3 linked regions of the Macaca mulatta genome follow. The protein of the gene in region 1 purifies or fractionates together with the protein of each later gene. This does not show direct contact. Links are inferred from orthologs where the notes say so. Each region holds a gene or a part of one and is shown in the gene's direction. Other genes may lie near its edges. The genes, in order: SORBS3, DLG5 and WASL.

What was found.
Region 2: the proteins of SORBS3 (region 1) and DLG5 purify together in Homo sapiens (co-immunoprecipitation; 3 studies listed by BioGRID and IntAct, with this or other methods). This does not show direct contact. The link is inferred for Macaca mulatta from reciprocal best matches to the Homo sapiens genes SORBS3 and DLG5.
Region 3: the proteins of SORBS3 (region 1) and WASL purify together in Homo sapiens (co-immunoprecipitation; 3 studies listed by BioGRID and IntAct, with this or other methods). This does not show direct contact. The link is inferred for Macaca mulatta from reciprocal best matches to the Homo sapiens genes SORBS3 and WASL.

What each region holds. Positions count from the first base shown.
Region 1 is NC_133413.1:24,236,690-24,240,342, forward strand, and holds part of SORBS3 (vinexin), read left to right. Parts: intron 1-380; coding exon 381-692; intron 693-992; coding exon 993-1,096; intron 1,097-1,615; coding exon 1,616-1,722; intron 1,723-3,653. UniProt on the Homo sapiens protein: Vinexin alpha isoform promotes up-regulation of actin stress fiber formation. Vinexin beta isoform plays a role in cell spreading and enhances the activation of JNK/SAPK in response to EGF stimulation by using its third SH3 domain.
Region 2 is NC_133414.1:71,851,015-71,854,078, forward strand, and holds the end of DLG5 (disks large homolog 5), read left to right. Parts: intron 1-794; coding exon 795-898; 3' UTR 899-2,545; downstream 2,546-3,064. UniProt on the Homo sapiens protein: Acts as a regulator of the Hippo signaling pathway.
Region 3 is NC_133408.1:163,505,976-163,509,628, reverse strand, and holds part of WASL (actin nucleation-promoting factor WASL), read left to right. Parts: intron 1-1,003; coding exon 1,004-1,090; intron 1,091-1,354; coding exon 1,355-1,451; intron 1,452-3,065; coding exon 3,066-3,089; intron 3,090-3,653. UniProt on the Homo sapiens protein: Regulates actin polymerization by stimulating the actin-nucleating activity of the Arp2/3 complex. Involved in various processes, such as mitosis and cytokinesis, via its role in the regulation of actin polymerization.

The sequences.
Region 1 (3,653 bases):
GCCTGTCCTGGGGAGTGTGTTTTTGACACACTCATGACAGGGTCCCCCAGCGTGACGCAGGAACAGGACCCAGGCAGGGCAGTAGTGGTAGCACCTGTCCCCTGTGCCTAAGGAGTGGACTGTTGATCTCATTCACACCTCATAGTGACAGTATGGTTATTTTCACTTAACAGAGGAGAAAACAAGGCTCAGAGAGACAGAGCAGCCTGCCTGAGGCCACACAGCTTGACCTGGCGGAGCTGGGTTTGGATCTGCATTATTAGCCACGGGCTCACCTGTGATTGGAGCTCTGGGGAGGGACCTTGCTATGCATCCCAGATAAGGCACCGTGGGTGCATGGCACCAGGAAAGCCCCACAGACACTGACTTTCCCCCCTCAGGGAGAGCACATCTGCCTGATCCGCAAAGTGAATGAGAACTGGTACGAGGGGCGCATCACGGGCACGGGGCGCCAAGGCATATTCCCCGCCAGCTACGTGCAGGTGTCTCGTGAACCCCGGCTCCGGCTCTGTGACGACGGCCCCCAGCTCCCCGCATCTCCCCGCCTGACTGCTGCCGCCCGTTCAGCCCATCACCCCAGCTCCCCCTCAGCCCCGCGCAGCCCAGCTGACCCCACCGACTGGGGAGGGCAGACCTCCCCCCGCCGCACTGGCTTCTCCTTCTCCACCCAGGAGCCTAGACCCCAGACCCAGGTGAGGTAGCCTGCCTCCACCAGAGAGCCCACCTCCTCCCCACCCCCCATCCCCCAGCCCCGTGACTTGTCCACACTTGGGAATCCTTCCCAGACAGCCCTGGGACAGACGAGTGGGGTGACAGGGCAGAAGCTAGTATGGCAGCCCCACCCTGGCCTGGGGAACCTCAGCCTACCGAGCTCTGGCCCAGGGAGCTCTCGATGGAATCCCAAAGCCAGCCCGGGCTCCTGACCCTCGGTGTTCTTGGTTCATCCATCATCTTCCTGCCTCTGACATCCCTTTCTTCCTGTCAATCCTCAGAATCTTGGCACCCCTGGTCCAGCTCTGTCCCACCCTCGAGGTCCCAGCCATCCCCTGGACCTGGGGACCTCTTCTCCTAATGCCTCTCAGATACACTGGACCCCGTGAGTACCATCTGAGGGCTTGATCAGACTGGGGGAGTGGTCACTGGCAGGCAGTACCCCATATTCCACCCTCCCCCAAGTCCCCACCTGTGGATTTGGGAAACTTCTACCAGGTAGCCCTTGTCCTCGAAGAGCTTATGGTGATTTGGTGCAGGGAGGAGGCGCTGGTCTGTGATGTTCCCAGTCCCTCCTGGCAGCTGCGTGGCCTTGTGGCCTTGGTCTCCTCATTGGGTTTCTAGCCCTGAGGTCAGTGCATGTAGAATTGAAGTGTGGAACCGGTAGAATGGACAGGAAGGCACCAGGTGCTCAGAGGAGGCGAGGGTTCAGTGGCTTAGGGCCCAGAGGGCAGAAGGCAGGCCTGGGAAAGACTGCACTGAGCACAGGCAGAGTCGCTCCGAAGAGCTGGGGCAGGGGCTAGTGAGAGCGTGAAGGGACCCTGGGGCGTTCACAGGAAGTGGCAACACTTGGGTTAGAGCCTCTGGGCCCGTTCTCCAGTTGCCGTGATGATGCTTCTCGTAGGTACCGGGCGATGTACCAGTACAGGCCCCAGAACGAAGACGAGCTGGAGCTGCGCGAGGGGGACAGGGTGGATGTCATGCAGCAGTGTGACGATGGCTGGTTTGTGGGTATGTGGGCAGGCCGGGAGGGGGCATCTCAGGGCCCCAGGGGATGTGGGTAGGCTGCTGCTGCCTGCCAGTGCTACTTCAGCAAAGATTCATGGCCGACCACCCCCCACTCAGCTTCCGACCGGGCTACTGGGGAGGGCCTGGCACCCGATGCTTCCCCAAAGCCAGCACTTCTGTTGGCTGCCTTCCTTCATGCCCTGAAGAGGCCGAGGCCCAGGAGGAAACTGGCACCAGTCCAGGGTCACCGATGGAGTCACCGGGGACCCAGGCCAGGGTTCCCGACCTCCAGAGCCCTGCCCCTTCCTCCTGCACACCCCTGCCTCTGGAGCAGCCCTCGGGGAAAGAACCTGGTGGAAAGGACCAGGACTCACACTTGTGTATCCTGCAACCCCTAGCTGGCTCCTCCAGCCTGGGAGGAAAAGGGAGTGGAGCAAGGTCCCAGCCCCTCAGGGCTGGCCCAAGGGCAGCTCTGACCAAGGACAAATGCAGGAAGCCTCAGGTTGGCCTCGGCCTGAATCAAGGTGACCAACCTACCAGGCTTCACATGGCCTCTTTCCCCAGAGTGGGCTGGCCCTGTGGAGGTCTCATCTTCAGAGGATGGGCCGTCCCCACAGAGAAGAGAGTGGCCAGAAGCCCCCTGCCCCTCCCCAAGCAGGTTTTGAGGCCTGAGGAGCTGGGGGGCTGCTTGGGCAGCCCCTTGACCTGGCAGCCCACCCTTCCTGATCTGATCCCAGTACAGCTGCCAGCCAGTCTCCTGACCCACCCAGGACCTTAAGCACTACCCTGTGAATGGCCCCTACCTTCTGATGGGGGAGGGAGGGAGGCGGTGCTTAGAGATGTATTCAAATTTACTCGATACACTTTTGCTTTGCAATTTTTTTTACAACTACTAATAAAGTTTTGCAAATCTATGCAGACAAGAAGAAAAAGTACCACTTTTGTGTTATGAGCCACAAGTGCTTTGAGAGGAATGGGTGAGACCTGTGCCCTCTGGTATGGCAGCCACCAGCTGCATGCAGCTGTTGAAATGTAGCTCAAATGAAATAAACTAAAAATCCAGTTCCTCAGTTGCATGGGCCAGTCTCAAGTGCCCAACAGCCACACGTGGCGAGTGGTGACCCTTTTAGTTAGTGCAGGTCAGGGAAGGCTTCCTGGAGGAAATGAGGGAGCTGGGCCTGGAAGGGCAGGGGAAGGATTTGGGGAGGTCAAGAGGAAAGGGAGGTACTCAGGGCAGAGGATGACGGTGGGGGTGGGACGAGCATGGGCTGCCCCCAAGGAAGTCAGGGTGCCAGCCTGGAAGGGGAGGCTCAGGATCATCCATTCACCCAAGGTCAGGAGTGACGTTCATTTGAGTTTATATTCCTATTTTTCCATATATAGGAATATAATAATACTTACTACATTTCTGTATTTCTATATTTCTCCATTCCTTCTTCCTCCCAGGCTGGAAGAACCAGCTGGGGGGTGTGGGGATACACAGGTGTGAGCTCTGGGCCTTTCCACCAGGAGCTCTCCCCAAGTGCTGCTCCAGAGGCAGGGGTGTGCAGGGGAAAGGGGCAGGGCTCTGAAGGTCCTCAACCCTGGCCTGGGTCCACAGTGACCCATCGGTGACCCTGGGCTGGTGCCGGTTTCCTCCAGGGCGTCACTGTCTTCAGGGCACAAAGGAAGGCAGCCAACAGAAGTGCTGGCTTTGGGGAAGCATCGGGTGCCAGGCCCCCCAGATGCTTTGCCCGCTGGGGTTCCCCCTCCTCCTCTTCAAGACACGAGTTTCTGTGGGGCTGTAGACCAGAGGCCTGGATCTGTGTCCCAAGCTTGCTCCTAAGCATGGGGGTGCTCTCAGGCAATTCATTCAGTCTTCTCTTAGGCCTTCCCACCCATCTCTAAGTGAGGGTGCCGTATTAGACCAGGGGCGTTTCTCCCGATTTCAGTTC
Region 2 (3,064 bases), on another chromosome or scaffold:
TGTGTAGGTATGTGCATGTGCAGGTGTGCATACCTGTGTGTGTGTGCGCATATGTGTACTTTCATTTCCAATTCCTCACAGACTGGTATTTAGCCAAATACACTGACAATTCCTAGAGAGATGAAAATTTTAAAACTCTAAAACTTGGAAAAGGTAAGCTCCATTTTTTTCTTGTTAGATTCAACAGACATAAAATTACGACGTCCCGTTTCCATAGCACTCCGTTAGAAACGTCCCATTTCTAAACACTCACTGTCAGTTTCTGAGCGTGGCTTGTTGCAGTGGGGGCTTGGTTTGTGTCCAGGTGCTGTTCTGTGGAGCACACTGGAGTTCCCCTGGCCTGCTGTCTATAGACCCCAGCGTCAAACTCCTATAGTACAGAGCTGGCCCCAGTTGGAGTCATCATCGTGCTGTGACTCTCCTCTTGGCCATGAGCTGTCTGGCTCCTTAAACTGGTCGTTTCCTGCAGAATCCTGCTAACGATTAGACCACCGCTACATGTCCTCCAAACTTCTTTCTGATGCCCTGGGATTCCCCCAACCATCGCAAACCCAACCCAGGGTATTACTGCAGTGGGGTGGGCAGTTTACATGTGAGTGATCAATTCACGAGGGGCAATTTTCTTTCCCAGTTTCTTGTTGGTGAAGGAGAGTCAGGTGGGGATGGAGCAGAGTGCCAAGTAGCTCAAAGCAGACAGCCACACAGTAGAAAGAGTACAAACTGTACTGCCTTGCCTCAAACCTGGGGTCTTAACTCTGAGCTGAATGACATGTGTCTGGGGGTCTCTTTTGCAGGGGTCATCCAGGGAGGAGCCCTGTCAAGCATTTGCACTCAGATCTTGGCAATGGTCAATCAAGAACAAAATAAAGTCCTGTGGATTCCAGCCTGCCCGCTCTAGGAGAATGCTGTGCTGTGGATGACTGCAGCTGGCCGCCTGAGGGGACGCCAGGCTCAGCTCTTTTCTAGCGACTCAAAGTAGAAGTCTGTCCGTCTATGAACATGCAGGGGAAGGATCCGGAACCAGGACCCAGAAGCACCTCCTTTGTAGACAGAGGGCCACAGCTGCGTGCGGTCCAGGCCCAGGCCCGCACCCTCTGCCCCTGTCACACGTGTTCTTTAACACAAAACAGATAACACTAAAGACGGGTTCAGCACCCACCTTTCTTTAGCCAGCTGATCAGAGATGCTGCAAAGAGAACCTTTTGGATCACTCGTTTACAAACCTTTTCTAAGTATTTGGTGGTTTATGTTTACTTGAACGGCTCCATGTTGCTGGTGCCCAGCCCCTGCCCCCTCTGTCAACCCCTGTCGCTTTGGTGTTGGTTTCGTTCCCGTCTTCAGCAAAACGACCTTGGAACCTCAATGGGGGCTGCTTTGCTTTGGGAGGTTCTTGTTGGTGGGACCAGAGCTTTGACAAAGTTCCTGCTCCTCGGTGGCACCTCTCCTGGAAGGACGTCACAACTGCAGGTGCTCAGACTGCCTGTGGCAGCAGAACCAGTGCCTTTGGCATTTTCCTCCCACACTGGGGAAGGTGACTTTGGTGTTCTTACAAACTCGTCTCTCGGCCTTTCTCTCCTGCCTTCCACAGCCTCTCGTTTCTCCTCCATCTGTGCTTATTACTTGAGCACTGTGTCTGCTCTGTGAGAGCTGCGTGGGCAGGGCCGCGGTGGGGTCCAGGTGGTGTCAGCTGTGCTGATGCCTGCCATTGGGTCCTCCTTAGGCTCTGTAAGTCGTGACAGCCTTCATCAGTGCAATGTTTGCAGGGTAATTCTTAAACCTTTTAGAGGGTGGCAGGTACATCAGTTCCTTTTAATATGAAAACATTCATGTTTCAGACATTGAATTGAGAGCTTTTAGGGGAAGCATAATGGTTATTGTCACTATCAACAGTCTAAAAAGAAAAACTAAGGTCTTTTTAATCTTGGTTACAGCACTCACGGCATGCACCTTACTCAATGTGGGTGTCTTCGTTTGGGCTTTTTTTTTTTTTTTTGCACTTCTGAGGCTGGATATGTCTGGCTGAAGATTTGATGTGGTTCCTCCTTAAGCTGTGCGTCCTGTTAATAATAGGTACTGTATTGGGCTCTGTGTAAGTGTCATTGGGGTAGGACCTATATTTTAATACTGTTCCTAACATTTCATTTTACTAGCGAGAAATCTTTGATTTCATTTTATTCTTTGTAATTCTAGACACTAGATTGTAGTTTAGCCATACTGATGTTTTTTAAAAAGGGATATATTTTCTTGCACAGTTGTTCAAAAAAGAGACAAGTTTCAGTCCTCAATGCTGTCCTTTGTTTTACAGGTACAAGTTTTCTAGCTCAGACAAACTATGAAAAACTGTAGACTATTCTCAAGGTATTAACTCGCAGACCCTCTGGGGGTAGGGGCTGTTTTCTAAGTTGCAGGCAGAGTGGGACTGAGATGGTACAGTGTGCACACACAGGTACTGAGCTGACAGACTGGGATTTTCTGTACTAAAATGTTACTTTGTATCAAAAGTTAAACAGGCTTTAGTACAACAAATAAAGGTCAATTTCTGTAAGGTTGTGTTTGAAGATGCGAGTTTTTAATCTCTTCCTAGTCGGTCAGCTTTCCTGTATTTCTAAACTTGAGACAGCTGCTCTTCTCTGCAGCACGTAGCTGGAGTTGGCTGCTGTGTAGTTTCTTTTTGGCTCACATGACAATTCACGTCCCTGCTACCTGCTGCGTCAGCCTCTCTCTCACTTCTTCCTCCCCTTCCCTGCCGCCCATCTGTCCAGTGTGGCATGAGCTGGTGACTGCAGCCAGGCTGCCCATCTGTGTGAGACCCAGAGCCTGCCCTCTGGCCCTCACATTCAATTCTGCAGGCTTGGGAAAAGCAAAAGGGAGTGAGCTGAGTGCTCTGGGCAGCATTCTCAGTCAGGGCCCTGTCTGGGGCCCCCAGCTGGGAACGGCCCCACCTGAATGGGGGCTGCTTTGTGGCACCTGACAGCATCACATTGGGAGATCACCCAGCATTGCTGGACTCCCAGAACAGGCCACGTGGGCCTGAACTCCATGTTGCAGGCTGGGCCTTTAGCTG
Region 3 (3,653 bases), on another chromosome or scaffold:
ATGACATGCTTCTGTCACTAGCAGTGGCTTACTATGGCAGTGATTCTGGAGGGTGGGGAACACATACATAATTTGAAAGAAACCCCCAAGTGCTTTGACATATTTCTCATAACTGTTGAGAAGCACTGTTTAGAAATGGCTTATGCATACTACACTAAGAAGAAAGGAATTCCATTGCAGTGGTTATCATGGGTGAACAGTGTATTGTACATATTTTTAAATTGTGGTCTGGGTAGAACCTTGCATTTCTGAATAGGGCAATGACTATGTTTCTCTAACCACTTATTTCCAATTGCTGAACGTTCATGATTCTTCACCTTTGGTATTAAGGTTAAACCTATTTTTTATACTATGACAATAGATATGGCAGTCATCATGGTACTCTTATCCATAGTTTAACCTTGATACATTTTAATTATCAGTCTCTTTCTGCATCATGATTAATACTACTTATACCAGTATGTAATTAGAAAGGTACTCTGCAAAAGTTAAGAATTTGAAGATGGTTAATGAGCAGTACAAGGAAGGTATATTTGACCCTCCCACATCTATAAAATAGAGGAAAAGATCATAAAGTATTCCTGCAGTGTTTGATAGTACATTGTCTAAATATTGCTGGTAGAACTGTGCTTTGATAATCAGTTCATGTACAAAAGTGTCCTATTCCTTCTATGTAACATTGATGACCTAGTAATTATTCTGGTTATGTATTTGACCAAGTAACTGAATTTGGAAATGGTTGGCTAGGGAGATTATATCTTAGCTGAATTAAACTGACTTGATATGTAGGTTTTATGAAAGACACGTTATCCAGTGTTTACAGTTTTAAGAAATTACTGATTAGATTATGTGACACTATTTATATATTATAAATATGTTGCATGTGTGCGTGTAAAAGTTATTTTTAATATAAACAGTTATCTTAATATGAGTCATCTGCTTTGTTTTATTCCTAGAGATTATGTTTTGGTAGTTCTTATTTTAATTTTTGACTTTTTTCTAGGATGGGAAACTATTGTGGGAACAAGAGCTATACAATAACTTTGTATATAATAGTCCTAGAGGATATTTTCATACCTTTGCTGGAGATGTAAGTCATATTTTTCTTTATTACCATCTTTTTTCATTGCTTGCCTTTTCTAATCCAAATTATTTATAGAGCCTTATTGAAAGATCAAATTCAATTTACTGTTTTTTTTTTTTTTTGCTGAAGGTGAAATAATGTCTTATCTGCTAGTAAAATTAACCTTTCATTCTTTAGAAATATACTTCTTTTGCTCATTGTTTTTATGATATAAAGCTGTTATATAAAGCATGATTCTGTTGTTTCTGCTTTATGATGAAAATATTTCAGACTTGTCAAGTTGCTCTTAATTTTGCCAATGAAGAAGAAGCAAAAAAATTCCGAAAAGCAGTTACAGACCTGTTGGGCCGCCGACAAAGGAAATCTGGTAACCCTTTTTTTAATTACTTAAATTGGACCAGCAAACTAATGCTCATGGGACAAGTGTGGGCCACTTCCTGTTTTTGTAAATAAAAGTTTACTGAAACTTAGCTATATTCATTGGTTTACATGTTGTGTTTGGCTACTTTTTTGCCACAACACAGTTCAATAGTGATGACAGTGATTATGTGGTCCTCAAAGCCTAAACTATTTATTACCTAAAATATTTACTATTTACAAAAAAATTTGGTGGTCTTTACCTTAAAATAATATTTTTCTTGAGAACTGTTTTTTTTAGATTTACTGAAGGACCCATTCCAATAACATTTTTTGTTGATAAAATGTCATATGTATTGTCTTTTAATTTTGCATTTGTGTTAGCATTGTTTGTTGAGTTTTAAAAGTATTTTATACTTTGTAAACAAAGACTTTAGGTAAACTTAGAAGCAAATAAGCAGAGTTGCTAACAAGATCTATAAACATTGCCTTGTCTCTCTATTTTGTTCCTAATACTATATACTATAAAACCCATAAGGAACCTGTTTATTGTGTAACACATATAAAACAATTACAGAACAATGCAGGATAGTATAAAGCTTTAAATTAATTGGTATAGAACTATTGTTCGACAACAGTGTACCAGGCCTTTCTCTTGTAAAGTGGAGAAGGGTGACTAGGAAAGGGGAACCTTTCCAAAATCATCTTAAGCAGATCAGTTTCAGGAGAATGAACATGTGCTTTCATCCAGTCCTATGGTTCTAAAAACTGTATGCTGATGACTCTCAAAGTTTTGTCTTCAGTACTGACACATCTTCCCTGAGCTTCAGACTCTGTCTACTCAAGTTAAGTGACACAATAGCCTTTAGACTTAACACGTCTGAGCAGAATATTTGATCCATGTCCTGTATCCCGAACCCTAGCCCCACTCAGACCTGTTCCTGTTCTTCTACTAATCTTCCTTGTTTCAGCAAAAGGCATTTGTTCCATCTTATCCCTCAGGCTCACCATGGTCCCTCATAAATCCTATCAGAGTCCTATCAGATTGGCTCTGCCTTCAAAAACTTGTCCTGTCTGACTATTTCTTACCATTTCTGCTGCTACCATTCTAATCCAGGCAGCCATGATCTGTCAGTTGGACTGCTACACTAGCTCTCTGACTAGTCTCCCTGCTGCTACTCAATCCTTTTTACTATCACTTTTCTATACAGTAGCCAGAGTAAACTTGTAGATTAGGTTATATCACTTTCTCTATTTAAAATTCTGTAAGAGCTTCCTATCATATACACATATAATCTATAGTCCTTAACCATGGCCTACGGAATCCTACATGATCTAGTCCTGTTCTTTCCTTCTGACTTGTTTCCTTTCACTGTGCCTTTTGCTCACTACAGTTCAGCCTTCATGATGTTCTTTCATGTTGCACCCTCCTTGGAGCCTTTGAATATATTGTTCCCTTCCTTATTTTATTTAGATCTCTGCTTAAATGTCGGGTCTTCTGAAAAATCTTCCTTAGTCACACATACATCAATTTAGGAATAAGACAGTTTAGTGAATTAATTTTTTTATGTTGATGTTGTCTTACATATATTTAATAATATTCTTCTAATTTATTTTCTAACAGAGAAAAGACGAGATCCCCCAAATGGTAAGCTTTTTGACAATTATTAATCGTTTAAGATTTTAGATGACAGTTTAATCCTTGTGGAAACGTGTACCATACATTAGTAATATTTAGTATCTATTGCATCTTAATCCTTGTGAAAACATGTACCATACATTAATAAGTAATATTTAGTACCTATGATCAAATTATACGGTTTATTGTGTTCTTTTTCATTAATGACTGACAGATGAGACTTAGGAAACAATATTCTTCGATATTTTTCTGACATGAAGAAAGAATACATAGTGTGGAGATCACTAATACTTATATCTTAATTCTGGATTCACAGTTGACTGAGTATACAATCTAGCCTTAACATTTTTCCTAGAGGCAGTAAATTTTGTCTAGCATATTTGTTAATTTCCTACTTTAACATTTATCTTTCATTCTTATTTCAAAGTATTATTTCACACTGGTTATGTGTTACATGAAGCCCCTTTCAGAATGAACACCTACTGTTATGGTGTATTTAGAACTAATTTAGCTTCATATAATGCTCTTTAATTTGATAATGACAACTTGAAGTATTATGAATTCATTTTTTAA